Linked DNA regions of Lytechinus pictus. The protein of the gene in region 1 purifies or fractionates together with the protein of each later gene. This does not show direct contact. Links are inferred from orthologs where the notes say so. Each region holds a gene or a part of one and is shown in the gene's direction. Other genes may lie near its edges.

Region 1 (8,313 bases):
TAAATTTCATACATACATAATCAAGAAAATATAGAACAAAATGATAATTGCAACAGTGCAATACACAAATTAAATAACAGTGTAATAAACATAGCAGGCAAATTGTATAAAAAAAGAGACATAATCCGAACTCATGCAAAAATAACATTTCAACAACTTATATATGCAGCTATAAAGCAAATAATAAAACAAGACGTAACAACTATGCAAATTTAAAGAATGAATGTATATGAGCATTCTCCCGTCCCATGGCCCCCCCCCCCCCTATCAGACCCCTATATTCATGTACCAATCATGTTTCTACGATATCATTATTGAAATATTTCTTATGACGTTTAATCTGTTTTGTATATTTCTATATCTGTATATGTTTGTTTTTACGGTGATTATTTGAAAATGGAGATACAGAGACTGAAACGAATATGATAGATGACTATTTAAATCAATCTTGAGTCATCTCCCTCTGATCCATCAATGTATAATTGCCCCCAGAAAGCGGACGAAAACTTAGGAATTAGTGATATTCCGGATACATGAGAAACAAATCTACATTGTTTAAAATATCGTTTAAAAAATGTCCTCGATCAAAAATTATTTCTTCTTTCAATTGAGACCGATCCTCATTAATTCCCGTTTTGCTCTTTGAGAAGAGGTAAAAAAAGAAACACTTGTGAAATACTTCATAGCGGTATGCAGAATTTGTTTTCCAACATGTCCAAAGAAAGTTTAAAGCGAGAAAGTGAAGCGACCAAGCTTGTCATGGACGCTTTGCTTTTTAAAATAAAAATTTAAGGATTTCCACTTTTTGCACTTGGTGACTTTTGTGAAAATTTTCAGTGATAAATGTAGGTTTTCAAAATTTCTGGTGGCAACTGCCCTTCCACTGCATACGGCCACGAATACTTTATGACTATGTCTAAAACAGAAATGCTTTTGGTTCATGAGATTTTGATGCCTCAATAAATCAGTGATATTAAAAAAATGTATCGACAGCATTCTTTCAAACTTTGGTTTCCTGGAAAAATCAAGCTGATTGCTGCCATATATCTATTTTAAGGGTGTAATTTAAGCGCCTTTTCTATTTTAAATAGATATGTGTACATAACTTAATTTAAGAATCCAAATTGTGAAAGAGGTGTTCACCGGGCGTTGTGCAAATAATTTTCTCAATCATTCTTAGTGTAAATTTTGATGTTCGGTACTAAATTATTATAATTGTGCATAAGATTGTATTTTATTCGTATTATATTATTTAAAATAGATGCTGAACAAAACAATAAAATACATACTCAAAACATATCAAAATAATCTTAAACAGCCGGGGACAGAGGCGTCGATCGTTGGGGGGGGGGGGGCAGGGGGCGGTCATTCCTAATGGAAATATTGGGGCAAACATATTGATTAGCCCCCTAATGATTTTGACAACTATGCAATGCAAATGAATGCAAATGAAAAGCATTGGTAAGCACTATCAAATCATTAAACTTAGCATAAAAATGAATTTAAACAAGTCATGTAAAATTAAAAATTTTCGGCGCAAATCGCTCGTAAAACTAAATCTGGCGTGCCGATACTTTTGGACATTTTTCAGTCTTGCCCCCCTCCCAAATAATCATTGGGGCGATTCCACACTAGAACTTCAAAAATATCATAAATTTCAACATGCTTTCAATAAGTCATAAGTAGTGTAATATTTTACTATGATACCTAAATTTTATGAAAATTGTGGGTTTTAACCAAAAGTGAAGTCAGATATAGTTTTTTGGGGGAAAACAATGGAATTTTCAATAATTTTGCTAATTAAATAGTCAAGTACAAACACTGCCTGAAACGATTATTGGCAAAGCACGAGAAGATTGAAAATATTGCCGATCAATGGAATAATGTATCATTGAATGGTTCCAAATAATATCTACAACATTTTCATGATCCATAATAGGGCAGCCCTGATTTATCCGAACCTATTTTTGACAATGTCCCGTACGACACATAAAAATGCAAAAGTTTTTCCTACAATTATATTTTTGATGATGCAATTTCACAAAATCAGTTTCTCTATCTTTGATCCATGGGTGATCGATTTATCCCATAAGGATCTAGTTACTGCCTTTCATTTTTTTAAATTGTCCTATTAAAAGTTGTCCCGTACGACACACAATATATACTGCATTTAATTGCAGGATTTGGATTCAGAAACTATAAATAGTAGGCCTATTTTAATTTAAGTAATTGATTTGACATAAAGTGAACTGAAAAAGTGCTTTTTTATCTCCATAGAACATGAAATATAAGTGATTCTAACCATTTTAATTGACTTTATGTAGGTTTTTTCTTTTGTGAATCCCTTCAGCTAAACTGGTGATTTTCACTGGTCAGAGCAGGTTTATTTCTTTATCATTGAGCATCAAAAGAAAACCTTTAGAATTGATTCACCCTAGCCTGGAAGATGACTTCCTCTTGCATGCTAATGTGAAATTATTATAAGATGTAAAAAAAAATATTTACATATCAATCATCTATTTGGACTTCTCTTGATGATCACTAATTTTTTTATGTATAGTATTGAAACTTCTTACTTTTTTCAAGCTGTAAAAAAAATCTGGAAAATAAGACAAACCATGTTCCAAAAAAAATCTGGAAAATAATACAAATCATATATGGTTTCATTAATGCAGAAAGGTTTGAAAAAGTAGAATCGCATTATATTTCTTGAGAAAAAACAAATATGTTGTGGAATTACAAGTGACAGTTGTGACATATATCATGTATACATTTTATATGAAAAATCATAACATTTTAGCCCCATAATGTACACAAACAGTTTCGTTCATTCGTTGTTTAAATAGTGTATTGGAAATCATCAATTAATTCACTAAAATATAACTTCACACAAAACCTCAAGTTTTTCAGCTCGTTAAAATGCTGTGAACAATTGAACATTTCCCATCATGAAAAAAAACAATTGCTCCCGATTGTATATACATTGAGGTTACTTAATTATATTGTCCTGAATGACTACTTATTAAAAGGCTTTTCATTAAAAAGGAAGAATTTAGGGGCAATGCTCCCCTTCTGATTGATAAAAAGTTCATTGTTTTATTCAGGCTGTCCAGTACAACACGCAAGTGCCTGTTCAACGCACAATTAGTGTCCCGTACAACACACAAAATTAATGTCAATTCTTTCAATTCTTTTTATTTCATTTCCATTCAAAAAACATAATACAAAGTAATATAAAGTAATACAAATCAAGTACAATTTTACAGAAGGGCATTCTTACTTCGTAAAAAAAAAAACAGAAAAAACAGTGTAATATAGAGCATAAATGGAAATGAGGGGGATCCACTAAAAAGCAAAGCTTGTAAAGTGTGGATCCCCTTGGAAATGAAAAAAGTATAGTAGACTTATTCTGATATGCGTACATATATGTATTACAGGAAAGAAAAAGAGAACAAAAGAAATCATACGGATGCAAATATAATTACTGAACTAATGCAAAGCTTTTCACACAATGTCCCGTACGACACGCAAGTATCCCGTATGACACATTATTTTGTTTATGATATATTGACAGAAATATTCAGCCAATAGCGGTTTCTAACATAATGAATGTCTTTAGTTTGATAGGATTATCATTATCATCAGTAAAATGAAGTGATTGAAGAAGTCAAAGAGACATAGATTAAGAAAGTTTGGCTTCAATTTAGAAATGACCCGTATGACACATTTTGATCGAGTGTCCCGTACGCCACAATGTTCTCGAAAATTGTAATTTGCTTTATTTATTCATGAATGTTTATTATACAGGATGTGAATTCAAGTCATGTTAAGTCTTGGTTTTCCTAACACTCTGGTAGTACTTGTTGATCACCTTTACTTACTGGAATATTTTTTTTTTCTTGTCAAAAAACTGTCAAATGTACGTACTCTAAATGTCCCGTACGACAAGTATAGAATCACCCATTGTATATATTGTTCAATTTCGGTTTCTTTTTTCTAATATAATGATATGGCTATATTCAACTCGATGATAAAAATACAGAGTATTTTGGGAATATGGTCATCTTGAAATAGTAAGGTTTTCTGTCTAAAATTTTGTTTCATAGTTTGTAACAAAAAGAGAATATCTAGAATTGTAATATTGATAATTTAGAAATAAATTGCTAAGAAAAAAAAGAAAGTATTCTTAGATGTATATTCAACAATAATTTTAAAAAGTGGAACAGGAATTTGAATGTGGGTTTGGGGATGCGTGATTGCTTGTGTGTGTTTAATATCTCAATCGCCAATTGTTTTAATTTCATGCGCATCATATCTCAGACTATATGGACGTAAGTGACATGTATGAAATACTCTGATTGAAGAAATCATGATCATAGTGACCACGATGACGACGAAGATGACGACAGCGACACGGCAATTAACCCCGCCTCCCCAATGAAAATAATGCGGGCCCCATTTGTGGCCAGCTCATCTTCCCTAAGAGGCGTACCCTGGATCCGCCACTGATGATAAACGATGATAAGGATGGTGAATGATGATGATGATGATGACGATGACGATGATATGGCGGTGGTGGTGGTGAACTGGTGATGATCAGATGATGATGATGCGATGATGACGATCGGATGATGATGATTATGATGCGATGATGACGATGATGATGATGATAATGATGCCCGGTGATGATGATGATGCTGATGATGATGAATTAAAGTTGGAGAGTTTATTCGATAATCATGGGAATTGGCCAGTGGCGCCTCTCACCGCGTACAGAGCTAGCGAGCCCGGCCGTTTCTCTGGCGCAGCGCCCAGGGCCAGCGATAGATAGCCCGAGTGAGGCGTGCGGCAGATATAGTCTAGGTGATTGGTGAAAAAAATGTTCAGAAAATGGTACAAGCATGAAAATCGGCACAAAGGTAGAGTAAGTTATTCTAAACATTTTTAGCAGGGGGTGCCGACGTGAGTTCACCGAACATAGCAACGGTTGCTAGGTAACATATTTACCTTAGTAACTGAGCTTAATTGGGCTAAAGTAACATTTTCATAAGCGATATGTCATACAAATTTTAATCTAAAGCATGTTCCTTTGTATCACAACAGTTTTGATCCATTTATTCGTAGCAACGGTTGCTAAGGGACCCTCTTCCGTAGCAACAAATTCTATATCTTAATTCAGATCATTATAATCTACTCAGAATAGCTCAGAAATTAAATCTGGCCCATAGATTCATCATGTGATGAATGTTTCCATAGGTAGACCTAATGAGTACCATAGCAACCTTTGCTAAGTAACATTTCCCACGGTAACAAGTATTATAGGGTATCTATCAATGATTATAATTTTTTTTAAATCGCATCTTTTCTATTAAAGCATTAATACAATGTATACAAGCCCATGCGAAGTACCAGTTGCTATTACGTTTTCTGTAGCAACCAATGGTTAAAGGCAGTATGGTAAGATTATTGATGTGTAAATCATAGAGGTACTAATAGATGCTTAAAAAGTAAAACCTTGCACAAATTAAACTACCTCATGAAATGGTTCATAGTTCCAAAGACGATGTCTATGGGTTCCATAGTATTGGTATAATAATACTTATTGCATATCAAAAGAACTTCACCTTTAACACCTATCTTTATCCATTTTGAAACCATATTATGGATTAACCTAAACATATGTAAAATATCGACCCTTGGAATAATTCAACAAAAGGTGGTTTCAAACCGCCTCGATCACAAGAATCCCCGTTAAGTTACGATAACTTTTAAGGCTTAAAAATACCCATATTCCTGCATTCACACCGCCCCGAAACATACCCTTCAGGGGGGGGGGGCGTTTCATGAAAGGGCTTGTCGGACATTTTATCCGACAAGTACTAGTTTATCCAACAGTTACCATAGGAACAGTGCCTCTCAGCCAATCAGAATCAACGAAAGATGTCAGATCTGACAACTTGTCGGATGAAAATATTGATGAAACGCTCCCCAGGATAAGTTCCTGCATGAAGTTACGAGCATGAGCAGTATGTTCTGATAAGCAGGCAAGGCGCGATATTCAAAATCACTAGCCCAGCAGCCACCCACGGCGCCCGCGCCCAACGACACGCTGGGCTAAAAGTTCCTGTAAATTGCTTTCACATTGCCAAAATACCTGCGACCTTAGATAAATCCCCACGAAAGTTCTCGTTATTTGGCCAAGTACCTACTATTTAGCGGGTATTTTCTTTCGGGAAAATTTCGCGTAGTTTGCTTTCACATTACCAAAATACCTGGAACTGACGAACTTTGAGGCGGTCTGAAACCACCTAATATCAACATTTAGCAAGAGGTCACTCTTGTATAAGAACGGTTACAAGAACTCCCCAGGAGGTCATGGGTACTAAAAACCTAAATAGCTCTGATCTTGAAGAGATAACCACGAAGAGATGACCACCAAGAATTGATTGAGTCATATAAGTTTAGAATTATTTCAAACACATAAATCTTGTCAAAAATTAATTTTCAAATGAGTGATTGGATACCACTTATCCCTTGCTAACAGCAGTCGTTCGCTTGAAAGCCAACACACTTTGCCTTGGTTTACCCACTCCCTTCCGTAGCCTGCAATGAAGATCATATTAGTTCTCCATGTTGTTCCCAAACCAAACGCCATGGGTAGGAGTTGATTTTGCCCAGGCGTTTTGATCAATCCTGCGCAGCTGGGGGAAAGATCTGTTAGAATTGATTGCGACCCTTCAGTTCCGTTTACTGGCCTGTTGGCCTGGATCCTGCAGCTACATGATCTATCATGACTTCTGCAGAAGTTGATTTGTACCTGTTACTTCCGATTCCAGGTGTTTTGACCTGGAACAATCCTGCAGCTCCACGATCTATCATGACGTGAAAGATCTTGCTAGAGGTAATTTAGACCCGTCAGATCCGTTTTTATATAGGCATGCTGGCCTGGATCCTGGAGCTAAATGACTTGATCCTGCCGAAGATGATTTGGACATGTCCGTCCTTTTTCCGGGTGTTTTGACCTGGAACAATCCTGCAGCTCCAGGACGTGTCATCACGTAAAAGATTTCGCAACAGTTGATTTGGACCAGCCAGTTCTGTTTTCAGGCGTGGTGGCCTGGATCCTGCAGCTCAGGGCTCTATCATGAGTTGAAAGCTTGTGCAGAAGCTGATTTGGACCTTTCTGATATTTTTCTAGGTGTTTTTACCTGGATCAATCCTGCAGCTCCAGGACTTAGCATCACTTGAAAGATCTGTTAGATTCGATTTAGACCATCAGTTCCGTTTCCAGGGGTGTTGGTCTCGATCCTGCAACTACATGATCCATTGTGACTTCTGTAAATGTCGATTTGGACCTGTCAGTTCCTATTCCACGTGTTTTGACCTGGATTAATAATGTAGCTCTGGGATCTATCATGACATGAAAGATCTTGCAAGAGATGATTTTGACATGTCAGTTCCGTTTCTAGGCATGTTGACCTGGATTCTGCAGCTATATGATTGATCTATCATGGCTCGATCCTGCAGATCAGTTGATTGGACCTGTCCTTTCTGTATCCAGGTGTTTTGACCTGGATCAATCCTGCAGCTCCAGGATTCATGATTTGAAAGCATGCGCATAAGTTAGTTTGACCTGTTAGTTCCAATTGCAGGTATTTTGGCCGGGATCTTGCAGCTTCAAGACCGATCATGACTTGATAAATCTTGCAGGACTATGCTTTATCACCTACGTATATGAAGTACTTATGATATCAGGTTGGCTCGACGCGATCCATACTCGGCCACAGAACATTAGCATGAAGTTCTGATATGCTTCTTCCTTCCGTATACCTCCGATACTTCTTGGCATGTCCAACTCAGATGGAAATGATCCTGCTGATGGCACTACCACCTTGTCTCGCAATATAATTTCCTTATGAAGAGAAATGTTTCTTACACTTTGATTGATGAACAAGTAATTGTCCGACCGAAGAGGATGATGACTGTAACTTTCTTGATATGTTCCTCTGTTGCATCTGCTATTCTTTGTCGAGCATACTGCATGTTTCACAGTGGCCTTGCTTTTCCGCACTTATGATTAACCCAGACAGTCTTAACTTAATTTTTTGACTAAATATATGCCCTACTCTGAGAAGGCATGTGCGACACATAAAATGTATGTTCGATTAATTCGCTAGAATTCTACCCAAAGTCCCAAGCTATTGGAAACTTACAGTGTAAAAATAATTTATTTATTTTCCTTCATCTAGAAACTGTTGCAAAATATCATGTAAATTATGACTCAAGTGCCCAGAATTATGATAAAATGATGGA
Region 2 (8,111 bases), on another chromosome or scaffold:
CCTGACGAGTCACAACTGATACAGGGGACGTGCCCCCCACCCCTTTTGAGAAGCCAAATTAATAATTTGTAAAATGTAAAAATGCACCTGAATACCTATTTTTGGTTGAAGATCTTATCTTTTTTTGCTTGTCAATTTTTTTTGGGGGTAAGAAATCCTTTATTTGTTGTTGAAGACCTTTTTTTTTTTTTATTGCTTGTGAAATTTTTTCTCGGACGAAATATCCTCCAAAAAAATTGCCCCCCTTCTGGAAAATCCTAGGTACGCCACTGGGGGGGGGTGCAGTCTGAGAGTGGGGGTGCAGCAGGGTCATACTAGCATAATTACAAAACTTACTGCCCTTTTGTCATCCCTGAATTCCTCTCTGAATAATAGCTTGGCCAACTGCGAGAAAAGGTCTTCCTCGAGAAATGAGGATTTCGAACACAACGCTTTATGTAGTGGACTAGGCCAATATAAAATTTTACCCCAAACTAACCCCCCCCCCAAAAAAAAAAAAAAAAAAAAAATTTAATCAAAATCTTACGGGGAAAACAATGAGCGGAGAATGCTTTTATCAGGGGCATTGGTTCCAGGGGCTGAGGGACCCCCCCCCCAAAAAAAAAGGGGGGAGGAGAAGAGAATAATAATAGTCAGGGGTAGCGCCAGGATGTTCTGAAACGGGGGGGGGGGGGGGAGGGTTCAGGTATTGAGATTATGAAGCAGAAGAGAACTCAAGGCCAACACGCGAGGGTCATTTTACTGTGGGGAAAAGTGTCGGCAACCACGTCTAAGGACTCGAATAAGAAATATTTCATTAATTTTAGCTGTATATACAATACATTATTTTGTTAATCATTTTACAATACGAGTGTCACCGAAATGGGTATGTATGAGGAATTAGACCCTTTTGCACGGTCATGTGGGTTACGTCCACGACCGTATCCAGCGTTGGTAGGGGCAAACCGGCCCCCCTCCCACTCCCTAAAAAGTGGAAGTCGTTTTGTTGCTAAAATTCTTATAAAAATTTACCAGAGTTCACCAAAACCTATAATTACAATATTGAAAATGCAAAAGTACCATCGTGATAAGATCAGCTGCTTCTCTCCCTCGCTTTCGAGTCCCCTCCCCCCCCCCCGACAAAAATAATAATCATATTTGCTGCCCCTTTACTTTTCCAAGTTTGCTCCCTATCGCATTTTAAAAATAATTTGTCGTCTGACGCATGAATTCGTTGCCTCTGATACTTTTTTTGTAGCTAGAAGATTACATTTATATCATATACTTGATGCATATTTTCTTTATATGATCTTTAAGTAATTAAAAAATGAATGGATGTGCGCATTTAGTACTAAAATTTCTACTTATTAACCTAATATCACCCTTAATTAACATGATGAATTTTTCGAATTAAAAGGGAAAAAATAAAAACCTGTGTCCATGAGCTTTGATCTTGTACTTGTATCATTTTATGTATTTATATAATTTCAGATAACTACCTCACTCAAGGCCTACTAAATTTTCAAACAATAAAAAAACATACATTTTTCATTATTGATCTGAAATTACTGCTTACGTTGGCCTAGTAGTGACCTGAAATATATTCATTTATATGCTGATACTTGACAGTTGCATACAGATGGGGGCGGTTTGGGGAAAGGCCCCACCCTCAAAAGATTTTCACAACCAAGAAAAAAAAAAGAAAACAGAGGGAAAGACTGTGAAATATAACATTCATTTTCTGAATTTTTTTATCGAAATATGCACCATACAATTAGACTTTTATATCAAAAAGATATTTTTTTCTCGCACATTTTTCTCGCTTGTAGCTTTTTAGAAAATATTGACCGGCATATCTGCCCCCTCAAAGTTTTTGGCTCAGTACGCTACTTGATAACCATTACATCTTGGTTTATGGAATAGAGACTGTATTTCAAAATAATCTTGAAAAATTGAATCTTAACAATTAGCCCTTCAGCATGGTCAAAGTTGAGTGACCGCAAATTAATTTTGACAATGATTATGTGACAGAAAAAAAGGTAATGATGACCCAAAAAAATGTCATTGATTAAGATTTGACGCCACCACCGTGATAGATGGAAAATCGGCGGGAAATGGAAACGAATGAATAAAAAAACAACACTTTTATCCCGCTTTCTTTCTTTTATCTCTTGCAAGTTTCCCTCTTTATTTCACGTTATGCTCTCTTTTTATGTATGGGCCGAGGGAGGTGGCTGCTTTGTACAGTGGCGTAACTACGGCGGGCACGCCCCCCCCCCCCAAAAAAAAAAAAAACGAGGGAAGAGGGGGAAAGGAAGAGAAACGAAGTGGGAAAGAAGAAATTATCGTTCATTATAATGTTATATTACATATATTATGTTATCTTACATAAGAACTTTTTTTCATAACTTTATGAAAAATAATTTGCTCAGGGCCTAAATGTGTTCGTCGTTACTGGTGCTAGGCATTGTCTGTTTAATGAGATATACATAATCATGTTGTACTAAAACATCCCGTTTTCAAGTCAATATACACCAAATATATTTCCTCGCACCTCGAGTTATTATTGTTTTATGTAGTGACATATGCTTCTTTTTCATGACTACTTAAAGTGATTGCCCCATTTTAAGGTCTGAATATAAAACATTTCCTGTCCGTGCTTACGTTCGAATTAGTGGATCGGTGAGATGTCTGTTCTTCATGAATTCCTAAAATCAGTCCTTAAAATGTCCCTTTTTCTGATCTGAATATCACAAATTTTCAACTCGCGCTTCGCGCTCTTGTTATTTGATTAGTGAAATCTTCGTGAATTCCTACAAACAATCCTTAAAATGCCCCTCTTCAGGTCTGAATTTCCTAAATTTTCAGCTCGCGCTTCGCACAACGCAATATTTTATTAGTGAGATGTGTATGATAAGTTGAGTCATGATTACCTTGACTACAAAAAGTGCTTCATGTCATACATGTGTTTAGATGTAATTTTAACAAAATCAGCAAGCGCTTGGCACTCGCATTAGATGACAATGGTGAGATATGTATACTCTTAATGGATTCCTAAAAAATAGTCCTTAAAATGTCTTTGTTTGGGGTCAATATTACAAAGATTTCCACTCGCCATTCGCGCTCGCATTTTGTTTAGTTTAGCGAGACAGGAACGTATAATGATTACACAATTTTGCTTATAATGTCCCTTTTTGGATCTGAATATAAACAATATTCAGCTCGCGCTTCGCATTATTTGATCAGTGAGATACATATCCGTTTAATGGCACAGTCCTTAAAGTGTCTATTAGGTCAGTATACCTGGTAATTGAGCGCGCTTGGCGCGCCCACTAAGTGACTCCAAAATTTTGCTGGTGCCCCCCATGCCGTGGTCCACGGTAAGCCACTGGCTTTGTACCCTTTAAGCAACATAATGTACCTTATAAATACACAGTAATAATAAATGTTGAGCGTGAACAAAATTAAAAACTATTTCACCTCCTGTAAATCATAATCAAAACAAATATAAAGGACATACAGTGGCGGCACCAAGGGGGTGCAGGGGTGGGGGGTATTTGCCCCAGTTAGGATTGTCCCCCACTTGCCCCCCCCTCAGAAATTTGGAAAACTAAATAAATATAGTAAATGCTGTCATAAGCATCCTACTCAAGCTGTAAAATGCTCCCAAAATAGCATTTTCACTATTCTAATTTTTTAAATGTTCTCATTCATTCACTGATAGCCACTAACAATATTAGTCACTAACAGAAATCTTTCAGGTCATTATATGAAATTAAAATCCCTCTCGCGCTTCGCGCTCGCAGTGGCTGTCAGTTGACTTAAATAAATGATCCGTTCAATGTAGGATACCCTGGGGCTTATTCTTCTCATGATTCGATTTTTCAATTTTTTTTTTATTAAGATACACATCCTGCATAATTATATACAAAAAGGTAAACAAATTGTTATCTCATGCTAGGCGCTCGCATCAATTGTTTAGTTAAATAACTATCCTGATCATGTTTACAAAAGTGCTTATAACGTCCAGTTATCATCTCGAGATAATATAAATTTTCAGCTCGCGCTTCACGCTCGTATTATTTATTTGGTGAGATATCATCTTCATGAGTAAGTGCAAGCAGTCCTTATCAGGTCCATTTTCAAGTCAGTTGGAACTGTATAAAAAATTGAACTTGGGCTTCGCGCTCGATTTTGTGAAACAGCCCAAAAAATTTGTGTCCACCTTTGCCAGAAAAAATGTTCTTTTGCCCCCCCCCCCATTTGCCTGGTGCCGCCAATGAGAATATGCCTTGATCACTTCTTTTGTTTATATACATGATATACACCAGGGGAAGATCCAGGATTTTCCAACAAAAGGGGGGGGGGGCACATTTTCCCGAGGAAAATCTGATTATGCCACTTCGCACGTTGTCACGAGATCGGTGTTGTCACAGAGATATATACATCTCTATGGTGTTGTCATCACCGTGCTGTTTTTCAATAGCGCCATCTACGTTAGAAGTATTTTCAGTTTTTTGTATCATACTTTACTTGTCTCATAAATTTCTGCTAGAAATCTCCCAATCATGGATGAACAAATGTGTCCACGTTGTAAAACAACAAAATATCGGAACCCATCGCTGAAACTCATGGTGAATGTGTGTGGGCACACACTGTAAGTATAATGACTATGTTTTTTGTAAGAATATGGATGGAAATTAGGAAGATCACTGCAGGAACTTATATTTGTAGGTTCAGTCCGATGCATTCAAAATCGTGTGTGCCAAGATCAGACCAAGTCAAGTGTAGTGATAGACAGTAGTCAGTAACCCAGGGAGCTCCGGCCCGCGCAGCTCAGCGGGCCGGAGCCCAGGGGCTTACCGTGTAATTCGCCATACCCCACGGTAGTAGCATGAGGTATGGTCTAAATCATTTAAAGAGTAAATAGTTAAAACAGAAATTAAGCACTTACCACTATTATAATATGGTCTATATGGATGAAGGTCTAACGAGTGGCAGCTTCCTCCTGACATCGAGGCACAGACTGGAACCTCAAAAAACGAAAAGTTCTGTCACGGTAGCTCTCCTTCTTTCAGAATTCAAAACAAAATGGCCGATCGAGACCGAGGCTATAGCACTAGCGCATATAGACAGCTGGCAGCCGTCTGTTTTGAGGAGTTTTTTAACATTTTTTTATTTTTTAAATTTCTCCTCATACACAGACGGCTCGCTATCGTGCAGCCACCATTAGGGGACTTACAATGCAAAATTCCCCTGTCGGGGCTCTTCAATTTTTGTCTTTAATGAATCAAACTTTTGAAAATTAACGCGACCGAAATGCAAATTAATATTCCCTCTTGGCATTAATTGCAAAAAAAACGGGGAAAATCAAGTTAAAAGGAACAAAAACAGTGACTTACCCCGGCTGTTGCGCAACTTTACTGCCCTGTTTTATCCGAACTTAATACACATAAACATATGGCCATTGAGTCCCCTGTACAGATCGCGCTAGAACTTCGGTCTCTGTATTTGGTGAGTGAAGCCAACGGAGTTCAGCTGAACAACCAACATAACAGAGACCGAAGCTTTTGGTCTATAGCGCATATAGACTTTGTCAAATTCGCGCATGCGCCCTACACCGCCAAATGCGGTTCTTTGTGCTGTGTTAGTATACTAATACTAACCTCGCACTAGTGTGAATTAGTATACTAATACTAATCTCGCACTAGTGTGAGTGTATCACGTGCATTTGCACACACACAAGATATGTTTTTACAAGTTAGTTTACTTGCTTGTGTTTTACTTAGAATTTAGATGTGATACCACCAGAGTGGACTAACTTATTATTAACAAGGCTCCACACTAACTTTTTTCTCGGTGGCCCGATCGGTCCACCAAAATCATCAATATCATATTCTTGGTGGCCAGCAAAGCAAATTCGGTGAACCCAAAACAAAATAAAACATTGCAATTCATCAAAACTTTGGAAGCCCGACCGGGCCACCAAGTGTGGGCTTTTACAGAATTTTGGTGGCCCGACTCATTTTTGTTGCCCTGGCCTGGGCCACTGCTAATGTCGAGCCCTGTTTTATATCTAAGCTTATCTTACATTGATAATGAAATGTCAAACATATGACCAATATCCGGAATAATAAGTCCATGGCATGGGAAAATGACAAATCTTTTTAAAAAATGGAGGCAAGCAATGGGAATCTATTTCTCTTGGTTTAGCTTTACAACCTGGATATCCCTCATCTTCTTATTTAAAGGTCAAGAAAAATCATGATTATCTTGTCATTTCAGATGTGATAACTGTGTTGAGCTGTTATTTGTACGAGGAGCAGGGACGTGTCCCGAGTGTAAAACACCTCTGAGGAGAAACCAGTTTCGAGTACAACTCTTTGAAGATTCAATCATTGAAAAGGAAGTGGACATTAGGAGAAGAGTGATGAAAGAGTAAGTATGTGAAGAGGTATATTTCCCATCTATCTTGCCTTCAGAATAGGTGATTATGGCCCGTATTCTGAAGTCGGGTTTAACTTAAACTCAGGTTTAAAGTTGTGGTTTAAGTATGGACAGCCAATTGTTACATAAATCACTGACAGTAGAGATATCATATTTCAGCTCATTTGGCTCACAAATCATTCATAATTATCCAGGAAGTATATATAGATTATTGTCTTCACCATCGATGAATCAGGAAAGAGCACAGTAAACATAAGAAATGTACAACTTAATAAAATATTTTGATACTTTTGGCTTCCCATACTTAAACCACAACTTTAAACCTGAGTCTAAGTTAAACCTGACTTCAGAATACGGGCCTTGGAGTTCAGTGCTGACCATTTGGTATTCATGTTAGGTCAATTTTTATATAATCATAGCACCAAACATAGAATGAAGTTGGTCCTGAAAGGTCACTCACTGTGTGGCAAGTTGTCAATATTGTGATCATTTGTGTAAACTCAGAATAGGTTTTGGAGCCAGGAAACGCAGTCCAATTTGTGCTTCCGACCCCAACACCGGACTTGAAATCACCTAGTGTCTCTTGTACTAGTATATGTAGTTGTACATGTAAATGAGATCTCTAACTCGGTGCTCAGTCAACAGGATATTGACTTGGGGAAAAAAGCATGGTGATGAACAGGGCACTGTTTCATGAAGCTTGTCAGCACTAACAATGTGCGATTCTCCGACAGTTACTATAGAAATAGCACTAACGGAGACCATTCTGTTCATCCAATTGAGACCAAGTTTTTTTAACCAAAATTGTCAGAGCTGACAATTTGGTCACTGTGGGCAACTTTTCTGAAATTTGTGTCCCTGGTTTGCCTATCCACATCAACTCACTCAATTTACCTACCAATTCTAATTATGTTTCATGATGGCATTTTGTTTGGTCGATTAGTATTCATTGTGTAAAGAAATAATGTGCTGTCTTAAAGATGAAGAGTATGTAGATTTTGCACTTGACCCTTTGTAAAATTGACTCGAGTTTTAATCACTGGTAATAATTACACCCATATGAAATTGTATTGGCGGTGTACAGTTCCAGTCCGATTGCAGATGTTTAGGATGTGTCATATTACTGTTAATTTTAATACCACACACTGTTCTGATTCTGATATCTTTCAGCTTTAACAAACAGGAAGGTGACTTCCAGACGTTGAGAGAATATAATGACTATTTAGAAGACATAGAGCATATTGGTGAGCTAACATTACAGTATCCTTGGTGGAAGTAATAAACCATGTACAGTTTGAATATTGCTTATCTTTGGGAACATTCCTGACAAAGATTTGCGAATGGACAATGATATTATGTACATCTATTTTGATGTAAAGTGTCTGCTACAATGTTTCATTGTGGGTAAACATTTGGAATTAAGTCTTGTGTTTTTAATTGATGTGAAATCATACAGGTATTTGTATTTTTTTTCAACAATGTACCAGTCTGCACAGGTCCATGTGAATAATTATTAAATATGTTGGATGTTGAATTTTCCTAAGATTATACAGTACTATCCATAATTTCACTTGTTGCTTTGCTTGATTTTTTATGTTTTGTAGATTTTGTCATTTCTTGATTGATCTTATATATGATTGATCATATATATCATTGCTCTTTTTTGTTTCAAAGTTTATAATCTG

What was found.
Region 2: the proteins of cyclin-dependent kinase 7-like (region 1) and CDK-activating kinase assembly factor MAT1-like purify together in Drosophila melanogaster (affinity purification with western blotting; 3 studies listed by BioGRID, with this or other methods). This does not show direct contact. The link is inferred for Lytechinus pictus from reciprocal best matches to the Drosophila melanogaster genes Cdk7 and Mat1.

Annotation. Positions count from the first base shown.
Region 1 is NC_087249.1:7,302,550-7,310,862, reverse strand, and holds the start of cyclin-dependent kinase 7-like, read left to right. Parts: upstream 1-4,662; 5' UTR 4,663-4,863; intron 4,864-8,313.
Region 2 is NC_087251.1:44,919,321-44,927,431, reverse strand, and holds the start of CDK-activating kinase assembly factor MAT1-like, read left to right. Parts: upstream 1-4,469; 5' UTR 4,470-4,547; coding exon 4,548-4,636; intron 4,637-6,264; coding exon 6,265-6,417; intron 6,418-7,596; coding exon 7,597-7,670; intron 7,671-8,100; coding exon 8,101-8,111.